Drosophila melanogaster: one gene and its partner. The protein of the gene in region 2 interacts with the protein of the main gene of each other region in a pairwise test. Each region holds a gene or a part of one and is shown on either strand. Other genes may lie near its edges.

Evidence for each region.
Region 1: the proteins of CG11999 (region 2) and Dhfr interact in a two-hybrid assay, tested with the Drosophila melanogaster proteins (one large-scale study listed by BioGRID).

Annotation. Positions count from the first base shown.
Region 1 is NT_033777.3:16,473,046-16,489,502, reverse strand, and holds Dhfr (dihydrofolate reductase), read right to left. Parts: upstream 8,337-16,457; 5' UTR 8,243-8,336; coding exon 8,163-8,242; intron 8,113-8,162; coding exon 7,644-8,112; 3' UTR 7,627-7,643; downstream 1-7,626. Other genes in the region: Cad89D (cadherin 89D), read left to right, coding at 1-2,087, 2,488-2,556, 2,670-2,906, 3,571-3,876, 3,960-4,115, 4,212-4,415, 4,480-4,804; Der-2 (Derlin-2), read left to right, coding at 5,549-5,635, 5,720-6,240, 6,297-6,474; Sdhaf3 (succinate dehydrogenase assembly factor 3), read left to right, coding at 7,142-7,223, 7,290-7,399, 7,456-7,626; Gyc89Db (guanylyl cyclase at 89Db), read right to left, coding at 8,667-10,676; Gyc89Da (guanylyl cyclase at 89Da), read right to left, coding at 14,130-16,133. UniProt on the Drosophila melanogaster protein: By interacting with vestigial (vg), may control genes involved in DNA replication. Key enzyme in folate metabolism. Catalyzes an essential reaction for de novo glycine and purine synthesis, and for DNA precursor synthesis.
Region 2 is NT_033777.3:5,345,379-5,361,972, reverse strand, and holds CG11999 (uncharacterized protein), read left to right. Parts: upstream 1-7,225; 5' UTR 7,226-7,351; coding exon 7,352-7,412; intron 7,413-7,539; coding exon 7,540-8,129; 3' UTR 8,130-8,256; downstream 8,257-16,594. Other genes in the region: Cerk (ceramide kinase), read left to right, coding at 264-1,994, 2,423-2,625, 2,686-2,815; Prosbeta7 (proteasome beta7 subunit), read left to right, coding at 3,898-4,049, 4,117-4,618, 4,690-4,842; CG1161 (uncharacterized protein), read right to left, coding at 5,393-5,548, 5,845-5,970, 6,031-6,139, 6,423-6,646, 6,720-6,788.

The DNA of each region.
Region 1 (16,457 bases), about 11 Mb from region 2:
AGTTCAAGTGGAATGACAGCTCCTCAGGCAACGGCAGCCATGATGCTAGCCCCACCTCCATATCACATTCCCGGATCACCGAGATTCAACGTGGATCGAGAGAGATCTGTGGGTGCAGGACTGGGAGTGGTAGCTAGAGCTAAGTCCCGGCGGAGAATGGTTCGAGCTTTGACAACCAAATGTCCTTTGTTCGCCATTTATGAGGACACTCCAGTGGGTACGAAAGTCCTACAACTGAGCGCAAGTGATGAAGACTTCGGAAAGAACGCCCTACTGCACTACGAGCTCCAAGGGGAGCAGGTGGAGCGGACACCCGGAATGCCCATGTTACGTGTTCATGGAGTAAAGTATTTTGCAATAGACAAACTAAGCGGGGAGCTGTCGGTCAACTATCCTCTGTCGGCAAACATCGAAATAATGTTAAATCTGACAGTGACGGATATTGATGGTCTAAAGGATTCCACATGTCTGCGATTCACTGTGATGGATGTCAACAATCATGCGCCGACGTTCAAGAAGTCCTGGTATAGCTTCGATACCCCAGAAGGGGAGTATAAGGACAGTGTGCTGGGTCAGCTAACCGCCATAGACATGGACTTTGGAGAGAATGCTAATATAACGTATACGCTCAGTGATTCCCATCTGCCATTTACCATCAAACCTGCCTCGGGAGTTCTGAAGATCGGCGGGCAGCTCGACCGGGAGCTGAAGGACAAGTACAGCTTCCAAGTGATAGCCACGGACAATGCCCCTGTGATGCAGCGAATGTCCAGCAGCGTGGATGTGGAAGTTAATGTCCTAGACATCAACGACAATCGGCCGGAGTTCATTGGCTACGACGATCAAACGAAGGCGGTGAAGTTCATCCCAAGTGTGGCAGATCGCACGTTGATGTTGCCGGTGTATAAGGCATATCTGGATCGAAGTACTCAGCCTGGCACATTTGTGAGGCAACTCACGGCCATCGATAAGGATAATGTGGGTAATGGCAATGGACTGGTTTTGTACTCCATTCGTCATCAGGAAATGCAAGCACCACTCTTCCAAATCGATTCCCGGGATGGTACCATCTCCACAATATCACGTATAAATGGCTATAACGACTATGAGCATCTGAATGTGTCTGTGATTGCCTCAGATGTGGGCAGTCCAGCTTTATCCGCGACAGCCATTGTAATTGTGAACCTCCAGGGGCAGGCAGTTACGGATCCTCCAAAATCGACTCCCAAACCAGAACCTCCAGCAAATGTCACCGTATTCCAGCACGCTTATTATGAGGTTAAGCTCACGGAGAACAATGAAGCACCCATTGAGGTGATGCGCTTGAACCTAAGCGCTGGTCTTAATCCCGAGAACTATCGCTGGTCTTTGTGGTTGGAGGAGGGCTTGGATGAAACGGATGCTCATCCGCCATTTGAATATGATGCCAAGAATATGCTTTTATATGCCCTCAAGCCCTTCGATCGGGAGCACATATCCCGATACCAACTTAGGATTCGAGCGGATCGATTGAGTCGGGAAGCTAGGAACTACGCCAGGGTCTCGTACCCAGTGGTAGACGAACGAATAGAGGGTCTGTCGCTAAACGAGTGTCGAATTTTGGTCCACATTGCGGATGAAAACGATAATGCACCCAAGTTCCGAGGCAATGGGCAACCGATTGTGGCGGTTCTACCGCAAAGTGCCAGCTTTGGATACCCCGTGACCCGAGTGGAGGCCAACGATCTGGATGAGGGGCTAAACGCCGAGATACGCTATCGACTTCTAAACGAGCCCGCTCGCCTGTTTGGCATCGACGAGCTATCGGGCAATATTCGCCTGCTTGGAGAACTTTCCCGCACCGAACACATCTACGGATTCGATGTGAAGGCCACAGATCGAATGGGTGCAGACGATGGCAGAAGCGGCATCGTCAACGTGTTCGTCTATATCATCAATGAGGCCAAGCAGGTGCGTCTGGTGGTGGCCGGAATGCCTGTCGAGGTGGAGCGTCGCATTGAGGGCCTAATGGAGGCACTAAGCGATGCCATTGGCAAGGATGTACGTGTCAGACTATTGGAGCCGTATTCTGGAGGGCTAGAGCCTGCGTAAGTAACTATATATCGATTGTAGTCTTAATAAAACAATACCCCATGTAATGATAGTCTGCCAGTGTAAAAGCAGTATTTAGGCATGGTGCTTAGACCATAAGAAGATTTACTACCAATAAACGTCTTTATAAAATCACCACCAATTTAAATGTTAATTTAGATAGATGGTTAGATATAGATTAATGGATCGATAACTTGCCAACAATCCGTTCATGCTTTCTAACCAATTATTTTAAGTACCAGATACAGATACAAGTTATAGGTATAGGTTTAAACTCTCATATTTGATTATTATGTGCAGCTTTTGACCGCATTGCATAACATAATTGGCCATTAGTTGCCATCAAAACACTGCAGTGTCATCACCTAACAGGTTCTCTACCCTCTCCATTTGCAGCACCAATGCCTATATCTATGCCGTCGATCCGCACACGAATTCCATTATGGAAATGGAGCAACTGCAGGAGTAAGTTTTCTCCCATTCCCCACACCGACTCCCTTCCCGGCCCCGGGCGGCATCTAAAATCGATTGACCCAGAACTGCCATGCGAATTAATGGCCTTGAATTGCTTCTTTCAGCGCCCTGGCTGGCCTCCAACTGGACGCACTGCAACTGCAGCAGCAGAAACTCGACGGCGGCAAGCCCATGCCCCGCATCCTCGAGCTGGCCGAGTTTGGGCAGTTGGCCCGACCTGCACACGCCTCCGCGTCCAGTTTCATGGGAGGATTGGAGTTTGTGACGGTGGTTCTGCTTGCGCTGATCAGCCTGGGTGCACTGATAGCCGCCTGCTGCTACGTATGCATGCGCCAAAAACGGTATGAATGACGAGTGCACGAGTGTCATGCAAGTGCAACTGCAACTGCAACCGAAAGACTGCTTACTGGGCGCTCAAATGTAGCTCATAGATGCATTTCATGTTAGCCATAGTTTTAGCCTAAGCTAAAGGCCCGATAATAAATCTTAAGTCAATTGCAAACGTTGTTGTTGCTGCCGCTGCTGCTGTTGGTGTGTTTGTTGCTGCTGCTGCTGCTGCTGCTGCTGCTACTGCTAATGGCCATGATCGTGGCCAAGTTGCTTGATGCCACTGAGTCTGCATAAACCGGCTGGCATTGGGCCTTTCCTGTCCGATTAAATTATAACGGTAAAAAGCAACAAACACAACATCAAATGCAACAATGCAGCAATAGCAACTTGAGGCAATTAGATGAAGATCGTGTGACATCGCTGCAACTACATCCCAAATGGGAAAGCCAATCAAATGGGATGTCATCTCATCAGCTCAGCTCATCCTGCACAGAGAAAAATAAATAATATGTTCGAAGTTATGTTGTTATATTGAAAGGAAACTACGATCAGGTTTAACTATAAATTTACATATTGAAAATGAAAACAAGTAACTATACTAGAGCTTAATGATGATTTAAACGATTGATATGAGCCGTCTAAAACTACTACAAATTCTTCCCGTGTCTCTTGCAGACGTCTCTGGTCTCAGCGTGATTTCTCCGCCTCCGATGCCGGTCTCACCTATACCATCGCTGGCATCGGATCTCCTCGTGGCCAGAAGCAGCGCCGTCAGCGGCAGCAGCGGCACACACAGCGCTGTAGCAAGGGCAGCACGGGCAGCCAACGACCCACCAGTGCCTTCATGCCCGAGTCCGTCTGCTCCTCGGCCCAAACGCAGTCTACGGCCACCGCCACCGAGAAACTGGAGCAGCAGCTGCACCATCACCACCAGCAGCAGGCGATGGCCACACAGCAGCAGCATCATCAGTACCTGAACGAGTGAGTGAATGGCCGTGGTCAAGACCGCGTCTAGTCAAACGTGTTTCCATTCTGGACACTAATTGCCATCATCCCCGAAACAGGCAACAGCGACAGCAAAAGCGCGAGTACATAGACGTTCCTCTTCCCAAGTCCATTGCCAAGGCTGCGGCGGTGACGAGTGGGGGCGATGGAGCTGTGGGCGTCGGGAGCACTCCGTTCGTACTGAAGTACAATGCCTGTCAGCCCGTTAACAATCTGTAAGTCTATAGATTATATTTAATATGGTTTCAAATTTGGCACAATTGTTATGAACTAGACTTAACATACTAAACTGCAACCTATCATCACAACAGTAACAATTACGAAACCTCGCTGTTCTCACTTCACTCGACGGGCCAGGACTCTGGTGTGGAGTTCCTGAGCAGCCGCGAGCTGTACGAGACCTCGCCGGATTCCTTTCAGCACGGAGGCTCTAAGCGCGGCAACAACACGGAAGTTTTATGCCCCAGACATGCGAAGGCCCACTTGGAGCTGCGCCAGCCAAATACGGACAGCAGGTGGGTAGAAGAGTGTGCTTTATTTCGGATTGCCTTCTTAACATTTGAAATCTCATTGCAACAGTGACACCTATGAGGACTCTCTGAAGACGGACGAGCCACTGGTGGCGCATAACTGTCGCAGTGCCAATTGTGAGCACCGCCAGCACCAGCAGCACCCCAGTCACCATCCCCACTACCAGAACACGCGGTTCGAGAAGCGCTCCTGCGTGCGCCACTCCTTCTCCGGGGTCAAGGACGACCTCATGCAGCAGTCACCGCAGATTTCACTGCGTCCCCGGGGCCACGCCCTCCGCAACTCGATGAATGACCTGGAGCAGCGGCTGCACAACCTGGAGCAGTCCTTTCGCCGCCCGCTCGAATTTAGCAAATCTAATTCATTGTTTTAGTTCATTTTTTAGCTAGACAAAACGCAGTGCAATTTTTAGTGTAGTCAACCTAGAATAGACTTTAGATATTAAGAAACAAGTGCAATAAATTTGAGAGATGTTACAATTAATATAGCCCCCAACTCTGAAAAAGAAAGTGATATATTTGAAATCCGGGAAAATCAATTGAGCAGTAGAAAAACTCAAAAGAAAATTTGATTAATTTCCAGTTTAAGTATAAACCCATTGAAGATATGGAAATACAATATATAATAGTATAGAAATTCATTCTGATCATATAGTAGCTTATGGATTTCAAAGTGAAAATCATATTGAACTTATCTGTTATTATAAATATTATTTCCATTCAAATATTGGATGAACTACTCTTCGATAGACGACACAATCTTAAGTTCTTCCTTCTGTTAACCACATAAATAAAATTAATTTAAAGTTTCGTGTCACGATTACGGCTTATCGATATCTGGCGCCAGTGTCACTAGTATTTGTACCATCACTAACCTTGGTCATAAAAATAAAAGCTAGCGTTCCATTTATTTTCCATCGCCCGAGCGCTGTTCCCTATCCATTAACACGTCTCAATCCTGGAGTGCACAACATCCGGTGAGAGGACTACCAAAAAGAGATAGTCCGCCGCTGGTTGTAGGTGAATAAACAGTGAAGAAGCGAAGAGTCCAAAGGATACAATCGCAACCCACTTGCCAAGCTGCACACTTTGAGTCCAACGTTGGAGGAGGAGCCGCCATGAATGCCCTGCGGCAGTTCTACCTGGAGATCCCGGTGGTCACACGAGCCTACACCACGGTCTGCGTGCTGACCACCTTGGCGGTGGTAAGTGTATCCCGTAGTGCGTTCTAAATCGCGGATGACGTGTACGTGTATTATCTTCGATTATATTTTTTGCCAACTTTTAAGCACCTGGACCTGGTGTCGCCGCTGCAGCTCTACTTCAATCCCACGCTGATTGTGCGCAAGTTCCAGATCTGGCGCTTGGCCACCACATTCCTGTACTTTGGCACAATAGGCATCAGTTTCTTTTTCAATATGGTGTTTACATATCGATATTGTCGAATGTTGGAGGACGGATCTTTCCGCGGACGCAGCTCCGACTTTGTCATGATGTTCATCTTTGGCGGCGTGCTAATGACCTTCTTCGGAATCTTCGTCAACCTGTTGTTCCTGGGCCAGGCCTTCACATTAATGCTGGTCTATGTGTGGTCACGACGCAATCCACTGGTGCCAATGAATTTCTTCGGGGTGCTTAACTTCCAGGCGCCGTACCTTCCGTGGGTGCTCCTCTGCTGCTCCATGATTCTGGGAAACACCGTGTGGGTGGATGTCATCGGCATGGGTGTTGGCCACATCTACTACGTGCTGGAGGACGTCTATCCTACACTGTCCAACGGCTACAGACTGATCAAAACCCCCTACTTTTTGTGAGTTTACTTTGAATTGGGATATAACTTTTGCAATAACGACTTGTTGTCCTTAGGAAACGTCTCTTCAATGAGCACATCGAACGCAACTTCCAGGCGGCTGCTGAGGATCGACCTGGCGGATTTCCTTGGGGCGGAGAGGGTCAGCCCCTGCTACCGGAAGAGATTGCGGCTGATGGACAGGATGAGGAGCCAGCGAATCGAGCGGCGCCTGTTGCTGCCGCGCCGCAATAGCAAAACTAGAAAACTTGATTGTTAAAACGTTCTTCTGTTCAAAACGACGACGATGACAACAATGTTGTGTACCCTCCGCCACCTTCTGTTTGGTGCTTGGTGTAATTAGGCGTATAGTAGTGAGAGAAAGGCGTGCAATAGTTAGCCAAAGTTGGTGCAGAGCGTGTGTGTATGTCATTTATTGGTTTGTTTTCTGAAACAGAGCTCATTTTCCATACGAGATGTTCTTTTATTTATAATTTACCCCCAAGGGATGAATCCACGACAGATTGAACCTACACTGCACATGTGATGATTATATATATACAAACCATGCCACAAATAAATCATTATATAAAAAGACCTGCAGTTTTAAAATGCTTGAAATCGCTTGGGGATTGATAAAAAAAAACCATTTGAAAAAAACATTTTCTTTTTACATTATTTGGTTTGCGGAAGTGTGGTTCAATTCGAAGTGCCTAACTTAAATATAATATGAAAATAGCATTGAACTTTTAAAGGTGACAATTCAAATGCGCGCCAAACTTTTAATACGTTGCCACCTGCCAACTCAATTTGACGTTAGCCAACACTGGCTGCGACAAAACAGTTGTTATTCGCTCGTATTTAGTTTTTAGCCGGCTGCTAAATAGTATAGTATTAGTATGTTATATGATATGAACTCAGGATGTCCAGAATTTTGATGAGCCAACTGACCCACCCTCAGAGGGTCCGACTGCTGTACAAAACGATCTTGCGACTGCACAGAGGTAAGATGAAAAATTCCCTATTACTATAAATTGCATGCATTTCAACTAAACTTCTGTACTCCGTAGGACTTCCAGCGGAACTTCGTGCTCTGGGCGATAACTATGTGCGGGACGAGTTCCGGCGACACCTCAAGTGCAATCCCATGGAGGCACAGCTCTTTATGACAGAGTGGGCCGTAAGTTTTACGTAATAAACAAAAAGGCGCCATACTAAGCAAATCTTCCATTGCAGCGATATGCGTCCACAATCACCCAACAACTAGGGATTCGGGGCAAGCCCAAGGGAGAGCTGGGCGAAGAGATTGACCCCAAGACTGTAGAAATGTTGAAAGACGACCAAGTAGTCCAACTATACGAGCTGATGCTGGCGGCCAAGGGAGTAGAAGATGCGCAAGGCAAATAAATCAGTGTATTATTTTATTATGAGTGTTTCTCCAAAATCTTGTACTCGAATTTAATGCCATTCTCCTCCTGCACACCCAGTGGCATGTCGGAATCGGGCGCGACCTCTCGAAAGCTGTCAGGGATCGCGGGGAAAAAGGTGTCGCAATCGAACTTCTGCATTATTTTGGTAATGTACAGCCGGTGACACCTTGGCGAGGCCATGGCCTCCTCGTAGACTCCACTACCGCCCACAATCCAAATGTTCTCCACTTCGTTCTGCTCCTCAAGGATCTTCATGGCCGTCTCGAGATTGGGGCACAATAGTACTCCCTTGGGCAGATCACTTTCCTGAAGTGTGGTGCTCAGCACTATGTTCAGCCGATCGGGAAGAGGCCTCTTGCTTTCCGGCACTCCGAAGTAGGTTTTCCTGCCCATTACCACGGCATTTTGCTTGGTGGGATCACTTGTTCGCTTGGTGGTGCGGCTGAAGTACTTCAGCTCAGATCTGATGGTACAAAAGCTTTAGCTGCGGTTCAATCCTTGTTACCAACTTACTTAATGCGCCATGGTAGATCGCCTCTGATGCCGATTCCGAAATTCTCGCAAACTGCCACGATTAAATTGAATCGAAGCATCCTTAATCCTTACTGAGAAAGCATAAGCTTGAAAATTATCTTCCAAGCTATAAAATTCAAACAGCTGATCAAGGCAATGCTGGAACCGATTTCGATAGCTTCGATTACTTACCTATTATCGAAACACGCTTATGAAGATCTTAGTCAGATTTCAGGTTGGTTTCGCGCCACTCCCACGAAAACAATATTTCTAGATACAATGTGTCTTGAATTTATTTTTATAGTGATCCACATATACTTTACAGGGGATTAAAAGTTCGTTAACTATTACCAAAAAGTTATTAGATACATTAGATATAAGAGGTTTTCGAGCCTGATTATTTCCAAAGGGTTACAAGATTTTCTGTCTCAAAATATGTTTTTTATATTTCAATACCATAGTGGTGATATTCCTGGATTTTCCAAGACAAACAAGTCTCCAGTTCTACTCTGGTCCCTCCAAAAGCCAGTAGGTCTCCATCTCGCCCTTGCCCTTGACCTTGACAAATCCCCGCGCTTCAACCTTATAGCCCACCTTTTGCACCTTCAGCGCAGTATAGTTGGACAGCTGGATCATCCAGGGATCGCTGCTGCTCTCCATTCGCGAGGCGGTGTTAACGGTGTCTCCAAAGAGACAGTATCGAGGAACCTTCATCCCAACCACGCCGGCGACGACGGGTCCCGAGTTAATGCCCACCCGTATAGCCACCCCGGGAAGAGCATGGGCTTTGACCTTCTTCATCACCCTTAAGGCCAAATCGCAGGCGTGTTCGGCATGCAGGGGATTCACATCAGGAGCACCCGAAACAGCCATGTAAACCATGCCCACGGTCTCCACTTTGTAAACAAACGGGGAAATGATCTCTTCGTCCAATGCCGAAAACACTTTGTTTAAGGTGGTCACCGCCTGCATGGCATCCTGGATGTTGTTGGACCCACTGTCATAGATATTCATTACCTCGATGAAAATGACGGATACCTCCTCGAAACTCTGACACACGTGCTCCTCGCTCTTTCTCATTCGCTCGGCAATGGGTCGCGGTATCATGGAATACAGTAGCTCATCTCCCTGCCGCTTCCAGGAATCTGCCAGTTCCAGCGACTTTTCCAGCTCATCCGATCGCTGCTCCTCCTTCTCAAACATTATCTCCAGCTTGGAGCAGTGCTGCCATCCCGCCATCACAAGCTCTCTACTCAGTCCATGCGGATTAAGATCGTTCAAATAGAGACCGATTCCATGCAGCTCATCGAGATTTTCGATTAGAGGACTGCACAGGAAGATCAGCGAGTCCACATCTTTGATATAGAACATTTGTCCCTTCAACAGGATAGATCGGAGGCCCACCGAATGGCGTCTCTGTCCCGTGGCGGGATCGATTTCGTCCTTGGAGGTGGCTGCCGCTGCTGCCTCTTCCTTGGCGTTCTCCGCACTAAACTCCTTGGCACTGGCCAAAGCCATGGCCTGCGCCTCGTTCAGGCTGCTGGCTTCATCAAAGTTTTCAAAGTCAAAGTTCAAGGCCGCATCATAGGCGGCACGATTGTGACCCGTACGGATGAGCTCAAACTCGAAGAGAACTGTACGCATTTGCAGAATGGTCTCCCATTGGATCTGAGTGTCCTTGGGACGACGGCACTTGAACCGCTCCAATATGTGACTGCCAATAAAGGTCTTTGGGTTCACTCCAGGATTATGCAGAATCCACGTCTCGACAATCTTCTCGCCCGCAAGTGTGATTTTCATGTCGTGATCCAGCACAATGGTGAAGGGAAACAGCTCGAGGAACACATTCAGGTCCACCGACGGCATCTTCAGCTGCGAAGGATGCGCGATGACATTGACCCGCTTGGCCATATAATCGCGATTATCGAAGTCCAGCCGATACTTGACAATCACGGTCAGAGGACCCTCCGTAAGCTTGATGGGACCGGCTGTGCCACCGCATATGTCATTTTGGCTCTCCAGGACATAGGCAGTCATGTCTAGGCCGTAGAACTCCTTGGCCACCTCGGTCATCTGGCCAATCAGGTACTTGGACATGCCAGTTCGGCCGCTGCGGTACAGGATCACAGCCCCATCGTCATCCATGTTGGTCAACTGCATGCTGGGCGACTTCATCTTGGGATAGGTGAAACGCATCTGCACGTGAATGTTGTCGATGGACTGCAGGAAGTCGCAGAAGTATCGCCCTGTGGAGCGGATCATCTTGTCGTAGCCGAAGTTGCTGAAGAATCGCACAAAACAGCGCCCGAAGAAGTTCATGCAGAAGTCGAAGGACTCGCCCGTGCTGGCGGACAGGGCTGCCGCAAAGTCCGGCATCAGCTTGTCCGGATAGATCTGATGTGTCTTGAAGCTCTGATGCTTGCAGTCGACAATCTGGCAGACCTTTCGCCAGGTCTCCATGCCATACTCCTGCTGGATATAGTGCTGCACGCTCTCGTACAGCATTCCGTACATGATGGGGCAGGATGTGAATGTCCTTGGTCCTGTGAAGTCCTGCCTATCGTCGAAATTGCCTTCGTAAAAGTTTATCCTGTAACGAAACAAAGTTGGCAGTCACATATTTAGGGGTGTGGTTAGCCAAAGTTTTTCCATCGCTCTGAGCTGGTAATTAGGTAAACTGTGTTCGTACCCCGGAGGATTTAGGACAATTTCGTTGCGTTGGGTCAGGGATTAGGCCAACAAACTCGTACACAACTTAAGTGATTGGTAGTAGGCTAGGATGCTACATAAAAAAGTCTTGCGCTGATATAGTCTTGAGTAACTACTTAGAGTGAAAATTAAATTGTATTCAGTCGCTGTTCTTATGCGTGAAATCTGTTTCCTATTTTTAGAGACATGCATTTAAAATCCATTAAACACGTAATTAATGTAAGGTGACATACATTTGGTGTATGTTTAAGCCGTCAGAGTATATCCTCTTATCTAGCCTTCAAAAACACCCAATGCTTTTCCTCCGTAGCATTTGATTTATTGCCCCGACAGTTTAATTTGAGTTCATGTGGCAGACACGCGGTGGAAATCCTCCTATTTCCCACATCAAGGTCTTTCAAATCTGTCACGTTCTTCGCGAAAGGAACATAGCTCATTGTGCTCAACTTATTTCCGTTTCCTATTGCCGGTAATTCGCTGGTGGCAACGCCAGTTTTTCATTTTTTTTCTACTCAGACTAACTAACTGAGCCACAAATTCTCGAACATCTTTCCTGAGTTTAGTGTATTTAATTTTGACAAAAAACATGCAAATTTCCGACAAGCCGAAGGTCGTAAAAAGTGGATAAAAATGCTGTTTCAAAATGCTAACGTTTGATTAATGGTCAGGGAATCCACGTAGTCAAAAAGAACATAAAGGCAATGCTTAACTTCTGCTCCTTTATACTCAAGTTAACAATACGTAGATTTAATCGCTCGTAATTTATGGTAGCTTGAAAGTGGCAGGGAGAACCCTAATCTATATAAATTGATAAATAATGGATTGGATGCTAAAGTTAAATGGACTATAGTGTAATAATTTGTGGCCAACTCAGTTGCAACTTTAACTTTAAGTTTTAACTTAAATGATGTAGTTCCTCTGCTTCTCATATTGCTTCCTAATCCTTTAAAGAACTGCCTTCTTAAGGATGTATGAAAATCCCCTTATTTCTCTCGATATATCTCTTTGATTAGTGAACCGTGAAATTAGCTTATTATATCCCCAGCAATCCCTGCTACCTTATATTGCTTTCCGGCTCGTTCCAATCCACTAGATGAATCGCATGAAGTTCTCCAGCATCGGAGCCGCTTGTCGTTTGTCTGTGCCTCAGAAAGAGTTTTAATTATATCCACGCGGCATTTGCCAGTCGCTTATTTATAATTTAAGGAAGGCATATACGCCTGCACACGCACAGCATCCCCGGATGCGTAAAGTCGGGGTACATATATATACGCGCACTCCACGGCAAACTCTCACTTTTCCGTACTCCGTGTTGCGTCGTCGGCAGTTGCTATTGTTACACTAAATTTGTTTTGCCGCCTGTCGCTGCTTCCTTGGCTTCTGGCTGCCTGATTTGCTTTTGCTTCATGATTTCCTCTGACAGACGAGCTTCGTGAGTCTGTCGGCTCTTTCGCATCCGTCGGTTCCGTCGGTACCGTCGGTTTCCCCTGGAGCTTTCCCTTTTCGCCGGGACGATGTCGGTCGACTGAAGCGTGCCCCTGTGGCGGTCAGGCCTTTTATAGCCCACCCACTAGCCAAGTTGCAGTTGGAGCTGTATTTCCGGCCCACTTAGGACCTACGTGCCTGCGCTTCGACACGCACTTCTCTGTTTGACCATCGTGATCATCATCGGCAGTCAATGCTCTTTGCCACAATTGCCACTTTGTCTCCTTCCGAAACAGTAAAACATTGTCACACAACCGAAGGAGTCATTTTTCTCCCCGTTCATTTCCTTTTATGGGCTCACTCCCCCACATCGATGTACATATATATGTGTGCGGTGTCCTGGGAAAGTATTGTCCTTTGGGTCTTTACCAGGGCTGAATAACACCTAGTAATAGACTGACGACTAGGTTAGTCAGTTATAATAGATATGTGGCTTATACAAATGTTAAAATTTCAAACTTTTAGTTTCCTTTAGATAATTTCTTTCCAATTGTATTCTCTGTATAAAACGCTGTTCTAATTTTCTGAACCATTTCTTACAATTTAGAAATACTCGAGTACTTTGAATGTATATCCCAAGCCCTGAAGTATCGAAAACCGTCTGTCAAATGTATCATTGTAACAGAGTTTTTCGCTTTGGCCGTTTGCCATTTCCCCGATGGAGGAATGGTTTTGTGGCTCTGTGCTTAATGCTTTTCCATTTTCACGCAGTTATATATACAAAAAGATGTACATACACATGTTAGCCTGAATCCTGCACATATTTGATGTGTTGTTTTAAAGCAATTTAAAAGGGATTTCACAGCATCGAACAAAAAGCCTTTGTCCCACTTAAACGAAACGGATTTTAGGGCTAGTCTATTAAATAAACGTTGACAATTTTATGGACAGACCATTATTCGACTAAGAGGACGATAATATGCCCGGCTGAATAAAAGAAGGAGATACTTCTACCACTCAAAAAGCCATCAATTACAGATGCGACAGGCACGCGTTGCATAACTACAAAAATATTATATTTATGTACATTGGGTCCCGAAGAAAATAACTCAATATAATCAAACAAAAACAGCTCTTAACGGAGTAAAAACTAATGACGATGGCCCTCAACACACAAAAGTTCTGATATCAACTTTTGTGACAAAAAATATTTTTTTATTAAACTAAGAAAATACAAGAATATTTTCAAAATTCTTATTTTTATTTTTTTTTAACCATTTTCAAAGTCTTATTATTTGTTCAGTGTAGTTATTTTCAATATTGCACCGGAATTAAGTGTCCAACGTCCAGGCGTTCGAGCTAAGGACACGCAGAGTGACTTAATTTAATTTATATAAGAAAGAGGCGAACGGAGGTTACTGTATGTTTGAATGGGCTTACGATGGTCCGTCGTGGGTTGGAGATGATGGTGTGCAAAGTGACACGCAAACCGCCCATAAAAGTTATTAAAAATGGATTTTCCGAAATGAGGGTTGTCTGCGGGAAATGGCAGGAGTTGGTAATTGAAAAGGCAGGATGGAGGATATTATAAGAACTTGAGCTTATAAAGGGTGTATTCAATAAGAGTCTATTGTCTACATAGATAGCTGGTATTATTAAACAAATTAAGTTTGTCCCAAAACCAGCAGGAAATAGGTATTATTTATACTTTCACAAAAAGTCAGAGGAGCAGAGCTAAATTCTCTTTTATTGCAACAAATTAAGAGAGCCACAGGTGCCGTACAATCAGAACATGGTGCTATAAATAAAGATACATTTAATATTTTTCTATTCCTAGCCCTCGGGACCCTCCAGCAGCCAGTAGGTCTCCATGTCGCCCTTGCCTTTGACCTGGACCGTACCACGCGACTCCACTTTGTAGCCCACTTGGCGCACTTTATCGCCGGTGTACTTCGATAGCTGGATCTTCCAGGGATCACTGCTGCTCTCCATTCGCGAGGCGGTGTTAACGGTGTCCCCAAACAGACAGTATCGAGGAACCTTTTGGCCCACAACGCCAGCCACCACAGGTCCCGAATTGATGCCAACTCGAATAGCCACGTCCCCCATATCGTGAGCCTTGAACTTTTTCATCACCCTTAAGGCCAAATCGCAGGCGTGTTCGGCGTGCAGGGGATTCACATCAGGAGCACCCGAAACAGCCATGTAAACCATGCCCACGGTCTCCACTTTGTAAACGAATGGGGAAATGATCTCCTCATCCAGAGCGGAAAATACTTTGTTCAAAGTGTTCACCGTCTGCATAGCTCCCTGAATGCTGTTCAATCCTTCATCATAGACGTTCATCACCTCGAGGAAGATGACGGACACTTCCTCGAAACTCTGGCAAACCTGTTCTTCGCTGAGTCGCATTCTTTCGGCAATGGGCCGCGGAATCATGGAGTAGAGCAGCTCATCCCCCTGCCGCTTCCAGGAATCTGCCAGCTCCAGCGATTTTTCCAGCTCATCCGATCGCTGCTCCTCCTTTTCAAACATGATCTCCAGCTTGGAGCAGTGCTGCCATCCCGCCATCACAAGCTCTCTACTCAGTCCATGTGGATTAAGATCGTTCAAATAGAGACCGATTCCATGCAGCTCATCGAGATTTTCGATTAGAGGACTGCACAGGAAGATCAGCGAGTCCACATCTTTGATGTAGAACATCTGTCCCTTCAAAAGGATGGACCTCAAGCCCTGGGAAGATCGACGTTCCCCAGTGGCAGGGTCGATCTCATCCTCTCTCGCAGATTCATCATCATCCACCGGATGGGATTCACTGAACTCCTGAGCCTTGGCCAGCGCCATAGTTTGGGCTTCGTTTAAGTCCATCTCGTCATAGTTCTCAAAGTCCATGTTTAAGACAGCATCGTAGGCAGCGCGATTGTGACCCGTGCGAATCAACTCGAACTCAAAGAGCACGGCTCTCATCTGGATCAGGGTATCCCAGTCGATAGTGGTGTCTTTCGGACGACGGCATTGGAACAAGTCCATTACGTGGGTGCCAATGAAGCTCTTTGGATTGGCCCCTGGATTGTGCATAATCCAGGTCTCAACGATCTTCTCACCAGCATGCGTGATCTTCATGTCGTGGTTCAGCACAAATGTGAAGGGAAAAAGATCGAGGAACACATCCAGTTTCACGGTGGGCATTTTGAGCTGTGAGGGATGGGCCTCCGTATTGACGCGCTTGGCCATGTACTCCCGGTTATCAAAGTCCAGACGATACTTCACAATCACGGTCAAGGGACCATCCGTGAGCTTGATGGGACCAGCAGTGCCTCCACTGATGTCATTCTGGCTCTCGATCACGTAAGCCTTGATCTCCAGGCCGTAAAACTCGCGGGCCACCTCGGTCATCTGCCCAATTAGGTACTTGGACATTCCAGTGCGACTGCTTCTGTATAGGATCACAGCTCCGTTATCATCCATATTGGTCAACTGCATGCTGGGCGACTTCATCTTGGGATAGGTGAAACGCATAATCAAGTGAATGTTGTCGATGGACTGCAGGAAGTCGCAGAAGTATCGCCCGGTGGAGCGGATCATCTTGTCGTAGCCGAAGTTGCTGAAGAATCGCACAAAACAGCGCCCGAAGAAGTTCATGCAGAAGTCGAAGGACTCGCCCGTGCAGGCGGACAAAGCCTCGGCGATATCCGGCATCAGCTTGTCCGGATAGATCTGGTGCGTCTTGAAGCTATTGTGCTTGCAGTCGATGATGTGACACACCTTCCGCCAAATGTCCACGCCATACTCCTCCTGCACGTAGTGCTGCACACTCTCATACAGCATTCCATACATGGTTTATGTTTCTGAAAAAATGGAAAACAATGGACGATTAAATGTATAACAAGAAAACATGATAAAACAATAAAAACAACGAGATACATTGTCTCAATTTATTGTTCGATTGTTCCTTTATAAGAAGTTATATATTATAAGAAATTATATATTATAAGAAGTTATAAGAAGTGTCTATCAGAATTAATTTACCATCTGCATATAAAATAAATTTAACCTTTTTTTTTGAGTATATTACATATAAAATTTAAACAAATTAAAAACATGACTTTAAAAGAATCTCTCTTAGTAGTTCAATTTATTCCACTTCTCAACACTTTTCTT
Region 2 (16,594 bases):
GCTATTTTAAGTACAGTCAGGCTTGATTAAACCATAACTTGAACTTAATAAACACAAAGAAGTAAAGAAATCATATTTGGTCATGTGCGCCAAAATATGAAAGGTTTGAACCCCTTTTCTAACGGGTCCAAACTAAGGATATGGTTGCTTTTTGAGTTTGTGCTGATGATGTTTCACTGTATATCTAACTGAAACCTGTTTTCTTCTCTTAGTACCGACAAAGCGGACGCCATAGCGGGAGACGGAGACGTGGGCCAGTCAAGATGACGCAGACCAAGCAGCCAGCAGGGCGGTCGTCCACCTCGGCCGGGGATTTTGTAGCCCCCATTAGCTCTACGAGTGCCTCCAAGTTCACGCCCTGCTCCGCCTCCGACCACAATGTCCTGCTGAACAACTTCCAGCTTAAGAAGAAGAGCTACAGGGTCCTGCTTCACGGACAGCAGTTGGTTTGGGAGCGTCTGCAGAAGATCAAGCAATCGCCCCAAGGAAACGAGGCCAAGGCACCGTTGCCGCCGGACTCGCCAGCTCAACCAGGCGGAATCTGCTCTTATGGACCACAAAGCCACGTGCTCCACCTGGACGATGTGGTTAGCATAAGGAGCGGGGACACCAAGGCGAGCTCCCTCAAACCGCCTTCGCCGCCAGGCTCGGAACGCAGTTCCGGATGCAGTGGCGATGTTGCTCAAGGGAAGCCTACCAGTCAATACCTGACCATCAACTATGCCATGAGGCTGAGCAAGTCCCAAACGGATTGCAATCGGTGGGAGCTAAGGAGACTCACCTTCTTCAACTCGGATCCCTACATAGTGAGGCAGTGGGACCAGGAGCTGCAAATCCGTCTGCATAGCTCCTCCCCCACCCGGATGCGAGTGCGCCGCCTTTTGGTCTTTATAAACCCCTATGGAGGTCGCAAGGCGGGAGCTCAGACCTATGAGCGCCATGTGAGACCTATTTTCCAGCTTGCCGGCGTAGACGCCACGTGTATCACCACTCAGAGGGCAAACCAAGTGAAGGACATACTTCTGAGCCATGATCTGGGAGTATACGATGCGGTTTGCTGTGTCGGAGGCGATGGCACCGTAGCAGAGGTCATCAACGGACTGATATTCCGTCAAATGCGAGAGTTGGGACTGGACGAACAGCGGCCACCATACATTCCAAGACCGGCTCTGCCAGTGGGTGTGATTCCCGCTGGCAGCACCGACACCATTGCGTATAGTATGCACGGCACGGCGGATGTGAGGACAGCGGCTATCCATGTGATTCTGGGCCAGCATCGGGGATTGGATGTGTGCAGTGTGAGCAATGGGCAGTCCCTGCTCAGATTCTGTGCCAGTGTCCTGAGCTACGGGTACCTGGGCGATGTGGCAGCCCAGAGCGAGAACTACCGCTGGATGGGACCGCGCCGGTACGAGTACAGTGGCGTCAAGGCCTTCCTGAATAATCGCGGCTATGACGCCGAACTGAGAATGTTAGAAGAGCCCGATCTTCTACTGACCACGCCGCTGGAGGACATTCCGCAGAGTCCGGATAGTGTGTGCTCGCTGGGAGAGTCAGTGCCATCCGTCTGCTATGCCAATTGCCAGCGCTGCAGCTTCGCCAGCAGCATACAGGAACAGCGATCCTCATTGTTCATCCAAGAGGAATCTAAAGAGGCAGAGCGCAATCAGCAGGTAGAAACAGAGGACTCTCATCTAGCCGCCAGTGAAGCAGCACTCCTGAGGCCTCGTCCGCGTCCAGGCAATCTTCGATTGCCCACTGGCTCCATTTCATCAATGAGGAACCTCGGCAACGATCAGTGGAAGGTTGTGCGGGGCAATTTCTTTATGATCTGCGGCGCGAACATAACCTGCGCCTGCGCCAGGAGTCCCAATGGCATCTCCCGTTACAGTCATCTGGGTGATGGTTGCCTGGACCTGATTCTCGTGAAAAAGACCTCACTGCTCAACAACGTGCGTTTTCTGCTCAACACGGCGGGCAGAAGTGGTGATATTGTGAGTACTAACTATTACAACTATTCAACTTTCACATCCAAAAGAACACCTTTCCTATAAGAGGCGTCCATTTCCTTTGAAATAACATTTCCATAACATTTTAACTGCATCTTTAATTGCCAAATCCCCTAAGCCTACAAGCTGAGCTTAGTGCTTTCTATCCTAAAAGCCAAAAACCCAAAACCGAACCCCATCTAGCTCGGATTGAAGCGAGGGAAATCTGTGACAGAAAGGTTATTTTACGAAGATCTACTAGCCGCTCTGGTGGCATCCATATAAAGTATATACTTGACCAGTTTCAACAATATAATGTTTTATCTAGTGAATGCGATGGTATCTTTTACTGTAAAAATATAAATGAAAAATAAAAGGATACAATTAAATTTTGTAGAAAACAATAAATATTTAAAAACATTTTCCCATTGCAGCGCAATTTGCCTTTTGTAGAGGTATATCGCACAAGGGAATTCCGGTTCAGAACTTTTTCTGCCAGCGAGGAGGACTACAGCTTGGCAGGGTCTTGTCAGCCGATTACACCGCCTGAAGAAATGACCGCCCACTCCTCCTCGACGGAGTTTTCCAGCTGGAACTGTGATGGAGAGGTGGTGACCGACCTGGACATAACCATGCGGTGAGTTGGTTGTACCTTTAACTTCAATAAATCGCTTATTAACCGTTCCGTATCTGGCAGATCGCATTGTCAGCTCATCGAGGTCTTCATGCGGGGTCCCCATTCCTACAGCAAGCCCCTCAAGGGCGGCACCACGCCCACAACCCCAGCTAGCTCTAGCGACAATGTTTACTGCTGCTGCAAGGACTAGAAGCTTTAACCCCATAGAATTAGCATCAATCGTTGGCCGTGACATGTAGCTCTTAGTTTTGCGTAGGGTATCCTTATTCGTATATGTATCGTGTTAAAGAGCGGGTCTCCCCGTCATTGTTTTTAGCATAGCTCAATAAAGCAACTGATATTATCGACTGTATTATGGCATCTGAAAGATGCGGCAGCAACCTAAACATTCCCCTCGGAAGCATTATGCACATACCTATATATTTACAAATTGTGTACTGGTATACTGGCAATAAAAATGTATTTATATGTCTTCAAATTTATAATTCTTTATTATTAATTTATATGATCAAATGTTATGATAAAAAACTTCGTTGGGTTCCCAAAAACAACAATCCGGAACATGTGCGTTTTTCCCACCAATATGAATAAAAGCAGAAGTTTTAGCAAAAGAACCTTATTCCGCTTAAAAAGCTATGGAGAATCGTGTTCGAAGGGAGAGAAGGGAGATATTGGATTTGTAGATTGACCAGGATAATTTCCAAACGTCATTTACATTTATTGCTCTCGATTCTTATACTTTAATGACCATTGAACGGCTTAAAATGAAGTAAAGCAAATGGTCATTATATATTAACTAAACATATATTTAGTTTCAAGGAGTAGTAAATACCGTAGAAGCAACGGGTATACATGAGTCTTAATCCTAATTGAGTGAAAAGTTCTTTAATTTCTTATCTTTCTTCTCCTTGATTTGTATTATCAACGAGGATTATAAAGACAAAAGTAAAAAAACAAATTCAGTATAGGCAGCGTGGTGTTAACTGTTTTACATTACTTTTAACATCAACATCTAATAAAATGTTAAAAAGTTCACAATTAAACTTCAAATTAATTTAATTTAACACATGTAAAACGGTGTGACCAAGCTAATAGTGGATTCATCTTTGGTATGTCTGGTATTTTTAGCTACCGGTTGCCGATACTGGTATTGCCGCCCGCCTAAAGTCTGTTCACACTGCGCTGACTCTTGATTTTATTTGTGCCCGTCATTCTCCGGCAGCGACAAACATTTCAAAGTCTCGCGTTATTCCAGTCTCCGAATAAATTAGCATGTTGAACAACTACAACAGCCTAGCGCAGCCCATGTGGCAGAACGGACCCGCTCCCGGCGAGTTCTACAACTTCACGGGCGGACAGACGCCGGTCCAGCAGCTACCGCGGGAGCTGACCACAATGGGACCCTATGGAACCAAGCACAGCACGTAGGAACTGCGGATATGTTTATATGCAGATGTACCACTTGTTTACACTCCTTTTACTATTCCGCAGTGCTTCCAGCACCACGGGCACTTCCGTGCTTGGCATTCGCTATGATTCAGGAGTGATGCTGGCCGCCGACACCCTGGTGTCTTACGGATCCATGGCCCGCTACCAAAACATTGAGCGCGTCTTTAAGGTCAACAAGAACATCCTGCTCGGCGGGAGCGGCGACTTCGCTGACATCCAGTCCATCAAGCGCAACATCGACCAGAAGATGATCGAGGACCAGTGCTGCGACGACAACATCGAGATGAAGCCCAAGTCCTTGGCCAGTTGGATGACCCGTGTGCTCTACAACCGTCGTTCGCGGATGAACCCCCTCTACATTGACGTGGTTGTCGGCGGCGTGGACAACGAGGGGACTCCGTACCTGGCCAACGTGGATCTCCGTGGACGATCCTACGAGGACTACGTGGTGGCCACTGGTTTTGCCCGCCATTTGGCCGTTCCGCTGGTCCGTGAGAAGAAGCCCAAGGACAGGGACTTTACCGCCGTAGAAGCTTCCGAACTGGTAAGGAATTTCGAACTCTGATGGGGGGACTCTTCATTATTTAACTACCCTACCATTTTCTTATATTCTAGATCCGCACATGCATGGAGGTGCTTTACTACCGCGATACTCGTAATATTTCCCAATACACTGTGGGCGTGTGCAGCGTCAACGGATGCGGCGTGGAGGGGCCCTTCCAAGTTAACGAAAACTGGACATTCGCCGAAACCATAAAGGGATACTAGAGCCTCCGATTCTGAATGAACTTAGTTTAGGTCTAGCTCGGCGGTTTTGCATTAAAAAAAAACACTTGTCTAAGGATATGTGGTTACATGATTTATTAAAAATAAATGTGGCTGAAAATAATACGTTTAAAGTTATGGTTATTGTGTGATAGAAACTATCTTCGAGTTATTCTTTCGTTAATCTCTACTGATGGAATCAAAAAGTAGGCGTCAAACTAAGAAGCCCAAGGGAGTTTCCAAATCTAACTTGGACTCACCATTACGGTCTTACGTTCCTTATTTTCCCAAATTATAACCATCAATTATCATTAAAAGTTTTATTTTAGTGGATTTGTTGGTTATTCCTCCCGGCATTCAACTTATTAATTAATATGCAAACACTCCTGACAAACATATTTTGGTTTATTTTAATTAACATAAAATCTGGCTAAATATACAGATAATCAATTTGATCCAAAGGGGAATTTCGCAAAGGATAACTGCTTGGAATACGTGTCTTAAGTCGCCCATGCGCCTCCTAATCTCCGCCAGCTGCAAACCGAACCCCTTGTTAGTTTAGCATGGTATGCCTGTCGTAGATGTGGCGTCTCTGCTCGCGCACCTGCCGCTTCCACTTGTCCTGCTGGTGGCCCACACGATTGAGGACATTGGCTCTGGCACTGAGCTCCTGGTTGTTGACGGCTGGCAGGGGCGGCGTTGGTTCATCCTGGTTAGAAAAGGGTGGAAAAATGTGGAATTAGTCGAGGTGATCCAAGATCTGGCCGTGTTAGTTACTGTCTTAATGAAGTGACGGTGTGGGTTAGAAAGTCAACAAAATCTATAACGCAAAATGAAACAAAGGTGGTTGTGGAAATTAAAATCTATTCAAAAGAGTGGTGCTTCTTTATTGCCAACTAGTTGAGCCGCTTCGGCATCAACATCGTCATCTTCATCATCTTCGCCTTGGGCTGTAACTAGGAGGCTATACTGAATGCCCTTGTATCTAGAAAGCTTGTTATGTACATCTTCGTTGGTGTGCTCCTGGTAGTTCGCCTTCACTCGCTTGTTCAGCAACGGGTCCAGGCACATCAGGAAGAGCATGTATATTACTAAAATGGAGATGATCCAAATCACAATAATGACCACGACCTGGATGGGGGAGAGAGCTGGTTAAGTACGGACGGCTTTTGAGCACTCGAATTGACTCACCTTTATCAGCGTCGTATTTCTCGCCACATGGGAGCACTTGCACTCGGCGCATATGGGCAGCTCCTTGCCATTGGCATCCAAACGGGGCAGCAGGGCACCGGCACAGACGCTGAAATGGTAACGTGTAGCAGGTTGTTAAGAACTCCAACCTAACAGAATCACAAATTAAGCTCATTGATACCAAGATGCCTTATACATTTAGTAGCTGAAAAGTGAATACATTTGTGCAATACATGAACTATGATTCTTTGAAGCCTACGCAAACAACGTAAATTGAATTTAAAGTAGTAGAATCCAGTGGGACGAAAGGGATTGCAGCTTTAAAACTGCTCAAATGGACTAGACTTTAAGTTTCCAGATGCGGCAATTTCTGCCAGTGCAGTGCCACTTACCACTCAGTTGTGCTGCTGGAATTGGAAGAATTTTTGCCTGGAGCAGCGAGCACAGGCTGGCCGATGACCTTGGCCGGAGGGGCGGCAGTGGGAGCTGAAACTTGCTTGGCTAGTGGAGCTGCAGCCGCTGGAGCTGCAGGTGCAGGCACAGGAGCAGGTTGAGCATTGCTGTTGTTGTTGCTGTTGGTGCCGATCGCTGGGAATGTCTGCGCCGCAGTCTCAGCCTTTGTTGATTGTTTGAGGGGGAAATGAAAGCGGATTAGTGGGGCAGTCACGGGATGTGGCCAGTCATCATACCCATGTCACGCCAACCAAATAACATATCACCAGTAGCACCGCGTAGACGAACAGGCGCTTGTGTGCCATTAATTTTTCTTTAATTTCAATTTTCCTCAGTTTTCTTGCCTTTTATTGGAGAAAATTCCCTTGCAATTTCGCAGAGTGACCGTACTTGTCTGGTGCACAGAAAATACCAACAAATTGTCGCTCATCGAACTAGTTCCTTTTGGTGCAATTAGTTTTTAGGCTAATTATTAATAACTAATTATTTCCTTCACGATATAACGTTCATTTAATTCTAAAACAATCAAGAAATAAGTTTCTAGGCGTATCAATAAATCTGTGACGTCAAATTCGTAATCTGCTCTCTGAAAAGACTAATTATATTTTTCCTTTATTCAACATTTATTATATACATTAAGCTATTTTCCGTTAATGGAATAAGTTACAGCAATATGGAGTTTGTTATAGTATTATGTTTATTTTTTTCGGTGAGTCCATAATTTGGATTTTACCGCAGCCTGGTCACACCAGCACCGTCAAAAATAGCAATTGTTTGCGTGTGCAACGCTGATTTCAACCGTAATTGCCGGTACAGATTGACTGACTTAGGTCCACGGACTAGGATACGATAACTAGAACAGGACACGATGCAGCACATACTACTTCTTACAGGACTGGCGCTGGTAGGCAGCATTTCCAGGGGAGCCGGTAAGTGGCGACCTGAAACAAAGTCGCGTCTATGTGGTCTTCTCTGATTGGCCGCCCCTCTTTCTGAACCTTCCGTGGCCATAGTTAATGCTTATCTTATATTCTATCTTGACCCTGCTGAACACAGCCACCGAATCCAACGTGGTCACCTGCGGCTCCATCCTGAAGCTGCTCAACTCGGACTACGCCTTCCGCCTGCACTCCCACGACGTCAAGTACGGATCTGGTTCCGGGCAGCAGTCGGTGACGGGCGTGGAGCAGAAGGAGGACGTGAACAGCCACTGGGTGATCAAGGCGCAGACCGGCGAGCTTTGTGAAAGGGGCGAGCCCATCGCCTGCGGATCCACCGTGCGACTGGAGCACCTGTCCACCAAGAAGAACCTGCACTCGCACCACTTTTCGTCGCCGCTCTCAGGCGAGCAGGAGGTGTCCGCGTACGGAACGGATGGACTCGGCGACACCGGCGACCACTGGGAGGTGGTCTGCTCCAACGAGAACTGGATGCGCAGTGCCCACGTTAGGCTGCGCCACATCGACACCGGCATGTACCTGGGCATGTCCGGCCGCTCCTATGGCAGACCCATCTCCGGCCAAATGGAAATCGTTGGCGTCCACAAGCCGCAGCACGGAACGCGCTGGACCACGGCGGAGGGCCTCTTTATCGTGCCCAAGGAGAAGAGCTCAACGCACGACGAGTACGCCCACTCGGAGCTGTAGTGCTCCCTAAGGACCTCGACTGCTGCAGTTTCATACTACTATTAGTTCTGTAATTTATAACTTAGTTGAATTTTTATTGAAGACCCCAAAAGCAAACCATCAAATTAAAATTATTTAAACTCAGGGTACTTCGAAACTTTCAGATTGCTTTCATCGAAAGTTATGTATTCTATGTATGTATTATGTATTCTATCTAGAAAGTGCCTTGCATAAAGGCAGTCGTAAGAACCACTTAGCTTAAATGCATTGCAACAAATGGGGGCGTCTATAGAGCCCTTTTTAAGGTAGTGAAACCTCAGTTGCAATCTAACTTTTCTAAATTTTTCTAGAACTTTGATTGATTGTCTACTTAGTCAGTTGCAGGCACACAAATGCTTTTTTATTTTTATGTAACCTTTTATATTTTAAACGGGTATTTTGAGGCAATAGTACTCTTTCTGTTGGCATTACTGCAGTTAATACAGATGTATCTATTCCATGTAGTGCTGAAAGACATGCGTAGGTTACCAGGTGCTAATAGCGTGTTCGTGTCACTTTTCTACTACTCATTGATGATTAAGACTGATTGCATTTGGCGGAAAATGTCGATATCTTTGAACTCCAACAGAAGGTATCCCATGCCGGATTGACAGCCCTTTAGCTTGAAGCTAAAGCGGGAAGTATCCTTGCAGATGCAGCCGTAGGGCGTCACTCGCATTTCGCGAAAGGTGCTCCCCATTCCTTCGGATGTTTTTGTTTGCATGCATAAAACAATGGGGCTTATTCCGACCATACAAGCTATGTATATACATTTTGCCATTGCTCGCGGTTTCCGCTCCCTTGCTGCCCCGATATCGTCACGTCCATTATCTGCTCGTCTGTTTTGTGTTTCTTTTGTTTGGGCCATTGTCAACGCTTTGTCTGCTCATCCTCCGGGCCATGTCCTCATCCTCCGCTGCCTCCGCCTCCTTCGCATCCCCGTAATCCCAACTGATTGTGGACCCAGTAAGGTCAAAGTGTTAGCTGATCTAACCCAGCGCACAGTCGTTTATAGATTCTCATAATCGGGTTGTCCTTGTAACCATTTTGCACAAATAAGAAATGGAAACAAGGATACTCGTTCTACTAGTCTGATGAGCGATGTTGTCCCCAGCAGGAAATCTTAGCAAGATCCACCATCTGAAGATAACCCTCAACTCCGTAATTTCATGCTTTACGATGCAAATACTGGAAGTATCAAGCTTTGAATCTTGTGTCAACTATTCCTGATTGGAAATTCTGTACAGCAATTATTATAGACTTTCAATAAATTGTCATAAATAGTATATGGAATATGGATAGCACATAGCTGTCCACGATGTCATATTACCAGAACATAGTATCGGAGAGTATAAAACACTTTAGTTGTCGATTACCATCTGAGCATGTTAAACTTTGTATAGTGAACCAAATGTTTTTCCACGGCTTAGTATAAAAGTCTTCTTCATTTTGCTTATATTGCTACAGAAATGAACGTCTTAACATTATATATAATCCTTTAAAATTGATCAATTATCGCATAATTTAATGCAATATAGTGGGCTTATGTGTTTAATGAAATCGGCAATGCTGCCACCTGCTGTGGCAACATACCATTTAATATCACGTCAATTATCCCTTACAGGTGTTGATAACTTCCGTTCTGCGCGTTTATTGATTTACCCTTAACGTGTTAACGCCAAACTCACTCATACGCACACCCATACATACATATGTATAAGGATGTGTTCCTGCTCGCAGGACTTTCCCTCCCCGACAACCGGATTCCATTGTTAAGCGGTGGCCCATCCTTGTATTCATCGTATCCTTGTATTGTGCTTCCTATGTGACCAATAATAAAGAGAATATTTTGGAGCGAAGCTACACTATTAAAAATTTTCATTAGACTTAGTGTAGAAAACTGTATAGATCGGGATAGATATAGCGAAATAAGCTCATAAGCCAACTAATCAAGTATTTCCTAATCCAATTGCGAAACTATTCGGCATTTAATACTGAAAATAAAACTCAAATCTCTTTCTCTGCACGCATAAATGCCCAAGTGTTTTAGCAATCCTACGATAATATATATTATACATATAAAAGGGAAACGTTTTCCCTTATCGATTTGTCTTAATCGACAGCGGGCAAAGTTTAAAGCGCTTAAAAGTGGGAAAGGACTCGTTGCTTGAGTGACTGACAGATTGACACAAAATGTTTGAATGTTGCGATGTTTGTTTGTTTGCGAGTGTGACGCCTGCCCCTCTGCCGCACAATTCCAAACGAAAAGTACGTTGTGTATACGCACGAGTGGCTGGAAAGCGTAAGCAAAACGCCCTGCATACTAACCGGCGCACCCTGACCTACGTCGTGGCGAAATATCTCAAAGTTACTTGGAGTACGATTAGAAAGCTATCCACATGTTTTAATTTTCGAAAATAGAGTAGGTTTAACTAGAAGCTTTCAAGACACTTAGTCACTGACTAATATATGATAATAGTATAAACAAACGTACAAACGTTCTATGTTAATTGATACAAAACTTTTTTCTTTTCTACAAAATTATAAATACATATAGTAATATAAGTATATTATAGAAAATATGAATCAAAACAATATCAATTGTTATCCCCTTTTATTAGTTCTTAAATGTTTAAACTCATAGATCGTCTTCAGCAAGCATACAACAATTTGCTCTGATTGCAACTATAGGATATTAGTTGATTGATCGATACAAATTTTACAGCGATCATGACGAAAAGATATCAAAGTCAAGCCCTTTTGGCCGACGAATTAAATGGCTAGTATATATGTGTATGTTAAGTAGACTTAGGATCCTCTCTGCTTTCTGCTTAATTCGCTAATTCTATTGTGAATAATTAGCATTTCCTGCCATTGGCAAAAAGCCAGAATTGTCGACGTGAAAATAGCCAGGTGTGTCCGCTCAGCTTTGCCACACGCCCTTTAAGCCTCCTCTCCATCCCTCGCCCCCTTTTCGCCTGTCTGTCTCTCTGTTGTCGTCTCCAGTGGCCGTTATCGCTGGCGTTGCGCATTCGCCCCGTTGCTCCTGGTCCGCCCCTACCTCCCTCTCGCTCACTCTCACTCGTGTCGCCTCCTACGCACTTAACATTGAAAACCGAAAACAAGCCCCCAAGTGGCCAGAAAGGCCTGCCATCCGCTAAAAAGAAGAACATAAGCCGTCTCTCTGCGCCCGCGCACTTCGCAAGTTCACGGAAAGAGGCGAGCCAGAGAGCCTTAAATTGTGAATAGTGAAAGTTTGATGGCAACAACAATCGTTCCTAAGTTTTGAAGTTCACAGCGAGCCTTTTAGACACGACAGCCGCCCCTAACAGTATGCAACACACTTTTACAGAGATTGTTGGAAAAGGCGAAAAAATGGGACACACGTTACGAACAGCGAGGATGTTTTTGTTGTCCATCGTCGTTTTAAAGTAGTATAACTTTATAAGTTAGCCATGGAAAATATTCAGAAATTCAAATAAATATGTAAACTAAAATATATATATACAATAATCTGTGTCAAGCTAATTTATTTGGCTCTTTTATGTGCTATTTTTTTGCCGTCTTAAGCATTTAACATTTGTAGGTGAGTTCAAAAAAATAATAGACACTTTTTGTTACAATTACCGATTGCTCATGAATTTGAGTCAAATATTATAAAAATAATTTTAGTAAAGAAGCAGAGGCTCTGTTAAAAGCGCCGGACTAAAATAAATGTTTGCCGTGAAAGAGCGAAAAAGAGAGAGCTGGTCGCTCTCTCTTTTGGCCATGTATTTCGGCCCTGTTGGCTGGAGCGACGTAAATACCGTTAGCACAGTACATCGTAGACAGTTGAGCGTGCAAGTTTGGGCAACCAGAAGCGCCCGCCGATTCTATCAGAAAGGCCAACAAATACAAATCAAAACAGAGAAAAAAGAGCAAAGAATTTTAAGACCGAGGTTTTTTTCCAAAAAACAAAAACCAAAATGGCAGCCCAATAAACTCGAAAAACGCTTAGTAACGAATACAGTATTTTAGTTTTGGCCAGTTCGCACAGTTTTTTCGGTTCCCCAGCTGTGTGTTACATAAATCTCAGTGATTGTGTGAGTGTGCGAGAGAGAGTGCTCATGTGTGTGTGTGTGTGTGCGACTAACAGCGACAGCAGTTAAGAAAATATAAAAAGCTGCTAAAAATTATAGAAAAGCAACTACCCGAATTCGATCTATCCTTTGTGTGCTTAGTCAATTGGGCCCGAGCCCAAAAGCTGTTTCGGTGTCAATTACGAGAAAGTTACTACCAAAAGTATATAACGCATACGCAGCGGTGTCTGAGATCCAAGCACTCAGAAAGCAGCCAAGCAAGCAACCAGTCGAAGCAATGTAAGCCGAATAAACTTCAAAATCTTGTTTATTTTCTCCAATTTACAGAAGAAGCGAAAGTAAAATGTCTAGAAGTTCTCATTTGCATACTTAATCACTGGGTTAATGGCTTCCACCGCACTTTATAGAAATCCATCTGTTTTTGGTCCTGACCTCGACCAACGGACTGCCATTGAAACCTGAACCGCATCGTCTGTTCACTTTTAGCGAGTTTCTGCCATCAGCTGCAAAATGAGTAACAATTTCCCAGCGCTACAATTTCCACAACATTTATCGATTATCGCCGCACACCCACCCAGCCAGCAACTTACCGCCACTTCCAATTTTCTTTTGGTCAAGTCAATTGCTTGCAAAATTTAATAACCGTACACTTGGTGTTTTGCGTTCTGTTTTGTGCCCCAACTTTGTTAATTTCTTTTTGGCCCTTTCTTCGGCTCCCCCGTTTTATTGCTCTTTTCTTTGAGCGCCGCCCACGCAGCTGCTTGTTATTTTCCCCCTTTTCGTGTATTTTCGCCCTTCGCCTGCCACTCCCACTTGCCTCTCGGCAACTCTGGCTCCGCTCCTTGCCACCTTTGTGACCCGAAATGGCGAATATCACCATGTCGAGGCTCTGGATTGAATATCTTATTGTCGATGTGAAAATGGTATCCAAAAAGAGTTTGATTGATTTGTTGAGGGCTCCCAAGACGATTATTATCCGTCAATGCAAGGAATAGGTGAGGAATAAGGACCACTTCTAAAGAAAGATCCTTTTACCAATCAGTTTCTTAGTTGATTTTTTAAAATGATATGTAACAAAGGTATTTAAATATAATAAGGAAACTAAATTTAAAAAATTTACGAATAATACAAAGTCTTATATCCCTAATTTTTGTACAATACGAAACGATAGTGAACGCTTATTTCGGTTTCCGCGATTATCAGATACCTTTTAGTCGGCTAGCGGGAGCGCAAGGGAGAAGTTTTCACATTTTAATAAAAGAAAATGACAATTCATTTTAATCTATAGATTCAAATTAATTTCACCACTTTTGGCTTTTCAACTTAAGAGCGTTGAAGGTATGCAATAAAATGTTTTCTCATTTGCAATAATATTTATTCTTTGAATTTTCAAGCAGCTTGAAATGATTGATGTCTGAAAAAAGACATTGTTGTTATATATTTTTCATGTGCATTTTCCTCCCGTCCGTTTTTCCGCTGCACACTTTGTTGGTGCCCATTGTTATTACGTATACTGTTTCTGCGTCTAAGCAGAACGTGCTTTGTTGACCGCCCACGACGACGACGAAGACAAAGTGTCCGTCATTTCCAGCGGTGGCTTTCGTCCTGTCATTGTCCTTGTTGTTCCTCTACTGCTGCAGGACTTCAGCCTGAAGTATCTTAGCCATTTTCCGGTCAGGCATCGCCATTTGACCGGTCTCGATGGGGAAAGTGGAGAAATTAGCTCGAGTCTTGCTCCAGTTGGGGCTGGTGCAGTGTCATTATATAACGAAATTGGCTGTACTTCATCCGGATTTCTGTGTGGAAATGATCTTTTGGTGTATTAAATTCATTTCATCGCCCAGCAAGTTGACATTTTGAATAAATCGATGTATGTATGTAAAGTATTGCTGGTGGTGGTCAAAGCGATGCAGTGCGGTGCTTTTCGTGTTTGCTTGGGGTTTCCACATGCACATTAAGCGAAATTGAAAGCCATTTGCACTTAGTGCAGACATTGCTGAGTGCTTTCAATGGGAATAGATCGGGCTTTGATATAGAAAGAAGTGAGTTTATTAAAGCCAAGAGTTTCCGGAATTGAAAACACAGGTGATCATATGCAAACAGGTCTGTCTTTTCAATTGCTTGCTTTAATTTGCTTTAGGACTCGTCTGACTTCAAGAAGCCATATTGCCACACCTGAATGTCGTTGACTGGCTCATAAAAACAACTAGTGTACTTATTTTATTCAGGCCAAAATTAGCCTTTGCGTTGTGGAAGTGGGCCGGAAGGTCTGAGTTTGTTGACATTGTAGAGAAGAAATTGTGCTCATGCTACAAGGATTTAAGAAATTTTTTTTTTTTTGCTTGACCTTCCTTTTGAAAAGGAAATCAACATACAACATATGTACATACTTAAATATGCTTTTAACTAATTGGTTACTACATTTTATGCTTACAATATTTTATTTAAAGTAATAAGTACATAGCATAGATTATTGATGTTTACAAAAATAGTGGGGAGCTAAGTTCATCTAATACTATCTCTTGTAGTAAAAACCTGCTCCCTAGATCTACGCTTTGTATTAAAAGATAGAAATGTCCAAATTGCTTGTTCTGCGAGCCGGAGTCCATGTAGTCAGTTCCTACTGTATTTGCTCGATGGCGAAAGCCGATAATCAATGGACGCATGGAAGTGGGCAGGCTAGCAGCAGCAGCAGCGGAAAGCCCAGAGCAGTTAACAGCCTAGGGAAAACCATTTAAGTTAACATGCGCAGTCCCCCTACATTTTATTTTAGTACAAAGGGGGAGTGGCAGGGGGTGTGACAGAGAGCGGAAAAGAGAGCGAGCACAACAACAAAGTGCAGCTCAGCTGTTTGCTGGCCGTGTCGCGTGCTTTGTCCTTGACAAGGTTTTGTTTTTCCAGCATTTTTCATATTTTCCGAGTGGGTGGGAGCGAGACAGCTGGCCAGAGAGAACGGCAAAGCGATAGATAGATAGAGACGGATATGAAACCGTGGGAGAGAACTCAGCTTTTCGCTGCCTGCGCCATTTTCATTCAGGAAAAAAGGAGCGGAAGCTAAACTTTTCCAACTCGAAAACGCTCCTGCTGGATAGTTTGTATGTGTGTTTCTTTTGCGGGTTCAATTCGCGTGCCAACGACTCATAAGTTCGGAAAAATTTTGCAACTGTTTAGATGTTTTCAAAGAGGATATATAAGAAACCGCAGATAGCACATAACTTTCCCTTTTTATTTGTAGGCCCTATCCACCACGACTTTGATTGGTTTCGACTTTAAAAGAAATCTATTTACTGCGTTTCATATTACATTACTATAATCAGGAATGTTGTTGCGTCGATTGCTAACTTCTCTTGCTGCTGCAATATAGCCGTGAATGCATATTGTAGCCGATTATTTTCAGTGCACCTATTGTTGTTCCCATGAGCAGATCGCACCCTTAATTGTTATCGTTTTAATTACGCAGCACGTGGCCCATTCTTGGACAGTCAAATTCTAAGCCCCATTCCCATTCCGCCGCAATTTGGGGCATACCCCGTCGTAATGTTTAACGTTCAGCTCAAAATTGGTTTTTAGTAGCCGCCGCCCATGTTTATTAAAACATTGATAAATGCATTGATAAAACATTGATAAATTGAATGATGCCCGAAGGAATTTTATACGACCCAAGCTTATGATTATCCCTACAGCAGCCTTTGACTATCCAAATTATCTTGAACAGGAACGAGTCCAAGTATTCACAAATATCAATCAAGTTGTCAACTACATTCTCCTGTTATTCTCCACGTATGTACATACATATATGTATATATACATTGGCCTCGGCTGTCCAACCTTGAAGTGTTGAGACTGTGCTGATACCCATGGATAATTTCCCCAGCTGGCAATGCATTGAGGTCCAACTAGCTGGCTCACCCGCTGCCTGGTACAGAAACATTCGCCCACAGTTAGACACATTGTGGCAGGGCAAACAGTGCGTATAAGTAATTTGCCGAGCAGGGCGGCAAACTAAGCCTGCAATTAAATCCACTTGTAATGCGCTTTTGTTATTGCTTAATCCATTTGTGCGTGGCTCAAGCAATGTGCCACGCCCCTCTTTCTCCACTCCACGTACAAGGTGCAGTTTCATACTCTGGGAATAGTTGACAAGACCAAGTATGCATATGAAGGTGGAAATGCAAATGCGAATCCAGGGAGAGTCATGCCAACATTAGCTAAGTCTGTCAATGTCAGTGTTTTATTTCTTTGTTCGCTTTGAGGCAAGGCTGTCCTTAATGCAAGTGAAGTGGCCAGCGGGCGAGGGGGATGCTCCATTATCCGACAGCCGATTGTTCTGCCTTCTGCCTTTTGTCGCCCTTAAATCGTCCTGCCAGG